2 linked regions of the Coturnix japonica genome follow. The protein of the gene in region 1 interacts with the protein of each later gene in a biochemical or structural test. Links are inferred from orthologs where the notes say so. Each region holds a gene or a part of one and is shown on either strand. Other genes may lie near its edges.

Region 1 (4,127 bases):
TGCAGTTCAAGTCTTCAAAGAGAAAATGAATAGTTTAATAAAGCAGTTAAAGAGGAGAGCTCTGTTACACAACAGTCATGCTGAAGTACAGGCTACGTGTGCTTCCATTTATTTTTAATTTAGAGTTCTAGTCAATGGCGTGTTGAGTTGTAATATGTAGAACTCAAAGAAACTTTTAAACAAGGACACACGGATTACGTATGGATTACACTAAGAACTTCCCAAAGCAGGTGCAGAATTGTTTGCCTTCCAAAAATAAAGAATCAGTCCTGTCCAAAATTACCAGGAGGCTTTTGCACTACACATGCTCATGCAGTTTAGTTTGCTTTCCCCAACAGATTACATCAGTTCTAACAGTTTCTGAAGCTGTACCTACACCTGAGTGCTCACTGTGCTGTTGTCATTCCACTCCTCGCTCTGAGCCTGCAGTGAAGACACTCTGCTTGGTGCAGGACAGAGCAATAATGTCAGATACAAATCCACATCTCCCTAATTTGGGAGAAGCTGAGCCCAGTGAGCTGGTTAACATGAGTGGGCAGCGAACACAATACTAACACTACTGTCAAGTTATTTCCTGTACTGACACAAAGACGATAAATATATTGTCTCTTCCTAACTCTCTGTCAGCTCCCAATGACTTGACCTAATGAGTTCCCAAAAGCTAAAAGTATCTTCACAAGACAGCCGCAGAAACAAAAATGTAAGCAGAGGGAAAACAGGGACAGAAAAAAAGTCACTTTCAGGGAACAAGAAAAAACAAGGTCCTTGTTTCTTCATACAGAAACTTCTTTCGTTTGTTTTTCATTTTACTTGATAACTGCATTACAGACATATCACTCATAGCTACATTTCTTTCAAATTCCAACAGTGCTGTAAGATAAAGCTGAGACTACTTCCAGAGTGCAAAACAAGCACTAGAGGACTGGCCCAACAGCATGACTATGGACAGCAGATCCAGGGGAGCAGAGGGCCCTCTCCCCACCATCTCACTCCCACTGGCAGCACTGGGCAAGCATGCCTGAGCCCCAGCTCCCAGCACCCACAGTGCTTAAAGAGGCTGCCCAGAGAAGTAATGGATGTCCCAACCCCCCCAGGCAGCCTGATCTGGTGGGTGGCAGCCCTGCTCACAGCAGGGGGTTGGAGTTCAGTGATCTTTAAGGTCCCTCCCAACCTAAGCCATTCTACGATTCTGATGACACGCTCTATTTCCCACCAGCCTGGTCTATTTGTGGCTTATTTTGGCCAGTCAGCTCTGTGGATTTCAGGGTGGGTTTCTTTTCCTGTGGCAACTGCCACAGCACGCTTTCAGCCTGCTGATTCTTGAAGTTTTAGCACATTAATGCAGTCCTGGTGTTCCCAATTTAGCTCTGTGCCCTTCACACTGGCTTTGTCCCTGCTTTCCAGCTGATTTCCTCACTGCACCAGTTCCTACTTGTTCATTGCTCTTTTCAGCTGCCCCTTACAAAGAGTGTGGCCTGGCAGGGCCAAGGCTCCAGCCTCACCTGGCACAAGCTCACAGCTGTCACAGGGAAGTATTGGCTCCCCGAGCTCAGCCTGGTGGCCCCACGACCTGACTGACTGGTTCCTGAGCAACTGGTGGTGTCACTCCCCACCAGCAGCCGGCCACCACTCCACAACCACCTTCCAGGGCAAGCACCACTCCAAGGCTCCCACCCTGGAATTGTCCCAGCACAGGAACTTGGCTGCCAGAACACTGCATTTCCAGTGGGTGCCAAGGGATCACTCCTGCACTGAGCAGAGGGACATTTGGAAAGGTCAATCAAGGACAAAGGAACAACTCGAGCTCCAAAATAACACATTCCAGAAGTAGGATAAAAAAAAATAACAGGGAGACTAGAAGATGAATAAAGAAGACAGGTTAACGCAATGCCCGTGCGGCTGGTGTGTTTTTCCATGGGAGCTTTTGTTTTCTCACACATATTCCACCAGCACAGGGATAAAAATAACATGACCACAATGACGTCTCTCTAGCAAAAGGAATGACTTATGGGTGCAGGCCGAAAGTTAAGGTTTCCTCTTTGCCCCCAATTTGAAACCTTTGCCAGCCAATCAGAGGCTTGCCAAAATAATCAGCGAAAACATCTCTTCCTAAAAACCAGAGTGCAACGGGCTCCCAGGGCGCGGGGAGAGCTTGTGGAAAATAGGGCAGATGGCACCGCAACTCGCAGCAAAGTATAACTCCTCGCTCGCACCGCTAACCGCGGAGCACGGCGATGGGGGATCAGCGCAAAGCTCATTAGCCCGCAGACAGCTGGCAGCAGCACCCGTCCGGGAGCAGCGGGAGCTCACGCCGGGCTGCCGCCTTTCCAGCTCGCCTTAAGCCCCAACAGCGCCCATGGCCGGGATGGGGCTCAGCATCAGAGCCGTCCGTCCGTCCCGCCGGAAGCACCCGATGTACGGAGCGTCCATCCCGACCCCAGACCGGGCAGCGGGAGGAAAGTTGCACGCCCTGCCGTCGCCTCTCCCCTCCGCTCCTCTCCCCAACGCCCTCGCCCGGTAGCGGGGCCCCCGCCTGCCTCCACGCCCGGGTCGCGGGGAAGGGGCCGCCTACCTGGGGGCTCCGCTCCGCCGGGTTCTTCATCACCGCCTGGCGGAAGCTGTTATCCACGTAGGACGCCATCGCGCCTCGCTCAGCCGGCGCGGCGGCCGCTCCCGCCCGGCTCGGAAGGGCGGGACGGCAGAAGAGAGGAGTGCCGGCGGCGGCCTGGAGCTGCGGCCCGAGGAGAGCGGAGGGAGGCGGCGCGGGGACCCCGGCGGCACTTGTGCTCAGCAGCGCCGCCGCCCGGATTAGGCCGCGGCCGAGCCCCGGAGGCGCGGGGGCTCCCGGCGGGCTGGGGGCGCCCGGCGGAGGCGGCTGCGCGCTCCCGCTCTACCCGGCGCTGCGCCTCCCGCCGGCTCGATCCGCCGCATCCCCACGGGCGCCTCCGCCGCCTCCCATCGGAGCTGCTGGGGCTCCGCGCCCGTCTCGGAGACGGGGAAGTTGCTGGCTCGGGGAGGCGGGGCCGAGGCGGGCCGGCCGGGGCGGGGTTGGGGCGGACCGCGGGGGGCCTCGGGCGGCGGGGGGCTGCCGGCTCCGCGCCCGGTGCTTTGTGCGCGATGCCGGCCCCGGCTCGCCCTCCGCTGCGGCCGCTCTCGGCACCGACAGGTCTACCCGTGTCCCGCCTGTCCCAGGCTGCGGGATGATGGCAGAAGCAGCGCCCGAGCGCGGCTGGCGAGGTCAGCGCCTGGGCCCGAGCTGGATTGCGCCAAAGCGGGGCTGAACTGATCCCGGCTGCACGCCAGCCAGCCCGGGAAGCCAGCTCCAAAACTCCACGTCCATCGTTTGAGAGGCTGATATCCTAAAAAGGAGGGCTCAGTAGTCCCGAGGGATGTGCGGCAAAAGAGACAACAGCTTCGGAGACACGTCTGGTGCTCACGGCCTCCAAGCTGGGTGCTGAAGCCCCACCAGCTGGCTGGGGTGGCCAGCAGCTTTGGCCAGGCCACCTGTTGCCATTTGTCCCATCACTGACCCTCACTGACCCACTACCCCACACAGGCAAGAAGGGGACCAAGGAAAGGAGCACCGTGGCACCAAACCAGCATCTTCTGGGGCTGCCGAGTGGCCCTTTCACCTAAGCATGGTCAGTAAAGAGCAGTGATCTCGTCCCATGGCTGGTACTGTTTGTTACTTGACATGAACACACCACAAAAGCAGCCCAGCAACACTAAGCACGGAACAGCTATTAAGGTGTCATTAATGGCAATGTAAAACTGTTGCTGTGTTTCCTTCCATAAACAATGTCTACCTTGCACTGATACGTATCACGCAGTGTAAATAATACTGACATCAGGAAATCTGACTGAATTGATTTTCACTCGCTGAAATAGATTTACATTTGATCATAAGGAAGGTCTTATAACGTTTATTTTTATGTCTTTGTGAAAATGTATGGACATTAGTATTAAGAATGTTTTTTTTCTCTCTTATATGGCATACACTTCTGGTCTCAGGAGACACAACCTTATGCTTTTAGACACAGATGACCCTCTTACTGGCCATGTCTTCAAACAGTATCCTTCTAAACCTCTCGAAACTCTATATTTAGTTCATCAACAAAGATAACTCT
Region 2 (3,388 bases), on another chromosome or scaffold:
TAAGAAAAGGGCCAATGGTGCTGTTAAATTGGCTGTTTTTACCTCTATTTAATAGGAGAACTTAACCTCTGTTGCTCGCACAACTTTTAGATCTCTGATGTCTTTGTTGCTTTCTCTTGGTGTTATTCTGCTTAGTTTGAAGGCACATACAAAGTCTCTGCAGCTGCTTTGCACGCAGGGCTGAGCAGAAGTCCTTGTCAGGATCCCTGACCCTGGTGTTATGCAGCTCTATTAACAGTGCTGCTTTCTTCTCTGGGATTGATGTCAAGGAACCCATTGTTTAGCAGATTAGCATAATTGTTGCCATAATTAAAGACACCAAAACAGAAAACAAAACTTGCAGCCTTCATGCCTGCAATAATTAAGCATAAATTCTGAGCTCTGCTGTTAAGATTTATTCAGCTTTCGTAGAATTACCCACGGGGAGTCAGAGGCATTTCTTAGATGGTGAAAGGTTTGATAGGCCTGAGCGTGAGCAGAGGTACAAGGGAGCTGCCCCATGTGCCAGCTGGGGGTGTCACTGAGCTCTGATAGCAGAGCCTCTCATGGTGCTGGGAAGGTGCTGTACTGCAGAACTCTCTGTTGCAGAAGTGAAAAATGAAGCTGAGATTCCTCTCTTCTGCCTCATTTTGGAGGCTTTACTTTTAACTGTTTCTTTCTCTTTTTCCCCAGCAAGTGGAGGTAGACTGTCAACAGTGTATGCTTGAAATCCTGGATACAGCAGGGACAGTAAGTGTAACCCCTTTTTCTAATTGGCACCTCCTTATCTCCATACAGCAAAGCTATTCCATCACAAACATCCATCAGCTGCATTAATGCCATTCCTTTTTCCTTGACTCCAGGAGCAATTCACAGCAATGAGGGATCTCTATATGAAGAACGGCCAAGGGTTTGCACTAGTATATTCAATAACAGCACAGTCCACGTTTAACGACCTACAGGACCTACGGGAACAGATCTTACGGGTGAAGGACACTGAAGATGTAAGTACAACATTGTCTGGTTTTGTAAATGAATAGCATATCTTCCGAATGAAGCACGTGGAAATTTGTACGTGAGCAGAATGTCTTTCTAGGAATACTCATTGCTGCACAGCCAAGTTTTGTGCTGGAGTTCCCTCTGCAGTGTTTGTGACATTAAAAACAACATCTCGAGTTTGCTGGAAAGCTGACAGTCTGGATGGGGAGTGATAGCAAAATGGTGGGAGTCTTTTTTAGTGTTGGTGTTTTCCTCTTTCACTGTGCATTAGCAGGACTTCATTTCCTTCAGACTAAAGAGAAATCACTGTTACATTTGCCAATAATGATTCAGTCACTAAAATGGATTTATGGTGTTGTGCCAGGGGGTGGCACATAGAATCATAGAATGGCCTGGGTTGAAAAGGACCACAATAATCATCTGGTTTCATGCCCCTGCTGTGTGCAGGGTTGCCAACCACCAAACCAGGCTGCCCAGAGCCACATCCAGCCTATTTGTTCAACCCAAGGCTCAGAACCTCTTCAACTTTCATGCTCAGTTTTGGGCTTCCATTTTTAAGTTTCAGGGCACAGCTTTTAACATCCCAGCACTTAAACCATTAACCTTAGTCTGTGTTTAAATCCAGTCTTCACATGACACAGGAAGTGATAGAGCAAGTTGTTCTACTTCCCTTTTCTGCTCCACATTGATTACTGTATCCTGAAATAACCTTATAAAAAGTTTGGAATCTTTCAAACCTGTCCCATTAATCAACTAAGTAGCACTTTTTTTTCCCCCCTATCATTTCTCATTTTCATTTCCTTCTTTTATTTGCTGAACATGTTCAGAAGGAGAGAGTGTAAGAGAGAGCATTGGGCTGAGATGGTTGTGAATCATAGAAGGGTTTGGGTTGGAAGGGACCTGCAAGGTCATCTGTTCCCAACCCCCTGTTACAGGCAGAGACACTTCCATTAGCCCAGGTTTCTCGCTGCCCCCATCCAGCCTGGCCTTAATGTGAAATGATCTTTTGAGGGGGGTTTTGTGCCTTCAGCTTTCTGATGTAAGAAGTAAAATTTACTTCTTAAGCATAAAAGTGCCGTCGTTTTCTGCTCAATACGGCTGTTTTAAAGACAAAAATTAATCTTGAGTGCAGCTGAATGAGAGGGAGAGACTGCAAATACTTTCAAGTGGATTAGAAAGCGTATAGTGTGTTGGAAATTATCAAAGGAAGTGGATGGTGATTTATTTCCCAGCTGGAGAGTACTCATTTTCTGCTCAAAGAATGAAATGCTTCAGGAAATGGAGCGAGGCACACACCCACCAGCAGCAGCTCTTTGGGTTTGGGGTTTTTTCTACGTGTGTATAGCAAAGGGAAACAGCTGCTGAAGGAGAGGGGCTGACGGCCATCACTGTGCTGTGGAGCAAATGACTTCTTGTGTCTGCATTGTGGATATAGGCTGAATACACTGAAAATGCACCAAATGTGTATTTTAATGTGGCATTTATTGGAAGCTCCTTTTGGGAGCTGAGCTGCCAAGGGCTCGTTAATTAGAAACTTCAGTTATTATCAGCGAGTCATTATTAATGATGGTTTCAGTGCTATTTGTAGTGAATGCCCTTTTATCTGTGCATAAAATACATCAGTGATGCAATATGCACTGTGATGTGATGGGCAGATGGCCGTGTGCTGGGGCTCTGGGACCACATAGCTGCATTTCATTGACAGCACTGCTTGGGCAGTAGGTGTTGTATATTATGTTGCTGACACATCTCGTCCTCTTGCTCATCCCTTCTCCAGGTTCCAATGATTCTGGTTGGCAATAAATGTGACCTGGAGGAAGAACGTGTAGTCGGCAAAGAACAGGGTCAAAACTTAGCAAGACAGTGGTGTAACTGTGCCTTTCTAGAATCGTCTGCAAAGTCTAAAATCAATGTTAATGAGGTAAGTATGAGCTGCACCTTGTCTTTCTCACTTCTACATGAATGCCTTGTAGAGTAGAATCATAGAATTGCTCAGGTTGGAAAAGACCTTAAAGATCATTGAGTCCAACCACAACCTGACCATACTATTCTAACAGCCCTCTGCTAAATCACGGCCCTGAGCACCACATCCAGATGGTTTTTAAACACCTCCAGGGAGCATGGATAGCAGAGGGTCCCGAGTGACCTGGATGACTCTTAGATAAACTTCTACACGTTTTAAAGATAACAACTGCTGCTATTCTGAATGTGGATATGCCCCACTGTATCACTTGTCGTGTTGCATAGTATTGGCTGTTGGTTTTGAAAGTATTTGCTTTTCACATTCCTGCTACATCTGGCTGCTCAAGCAGACATCCCATCACAGTTCCTCCTCTGGTAAGCCACTGATTTACTGAGCCCATTTCCAAACATGGATCTATCTGCACAGTTTTCCTTGTTTAAATGAGAA

The links.
Region 2: the proteins of RAPGEF2 (region 1) and RAP1A form a complex in vitro, tested with the Homo sapiens proteins (2 studies listed by BioGRID and IntAct, with this or other methods). The link is inferred for Coturnix japonica from reciprocal best matches to the Homo sapiens genes RAPGEF2 and RAP1A.

Annotation. Positions count from the first base shown.
Region 1 is NC_029519.1:19,462,961-19,467,087, reverse strand, and holds the start of RAPGEF2 (rap guanine nucleotide exchange factor 2), read right to left. Parts: upstream 2,652-4,127; 5' UTR 2,642-2,651; coding exon 2,573-2,641; intron 1-2,572. Other genes in the region: translation initiation factor IF-2-like, read right to left, coding at 2,652-3,359, 3,467-3,514. UniProt on the Homo sapiens protein: Functions as a guanine nucleotide exchange factor (GEF), which activates Rap and Ras family of small GTPases by exchanging bound GDP for free GTP in a cAMP-dependent manner.
Region 2 is NC_029541.1:3,384,650-3,388,037, forward strand, and holds part of RAP1A (ras-related protein Rap-1A), read left to right. Parts: intron 1-672; coding exon 673-729; intron 730-842; coding exon 843-983; intron 984-2,755; coding exon 2,756-2,899; intron 2,900-3,388. UniProt on the Homo sapiens protein: Counteracts the mitogenic function of Ras, at least partly because it can interact with Ras GAPs and RAF in a competitive manner. Together with ITGB1BP1, regulates KRIT1 localization to microtubules and membranes.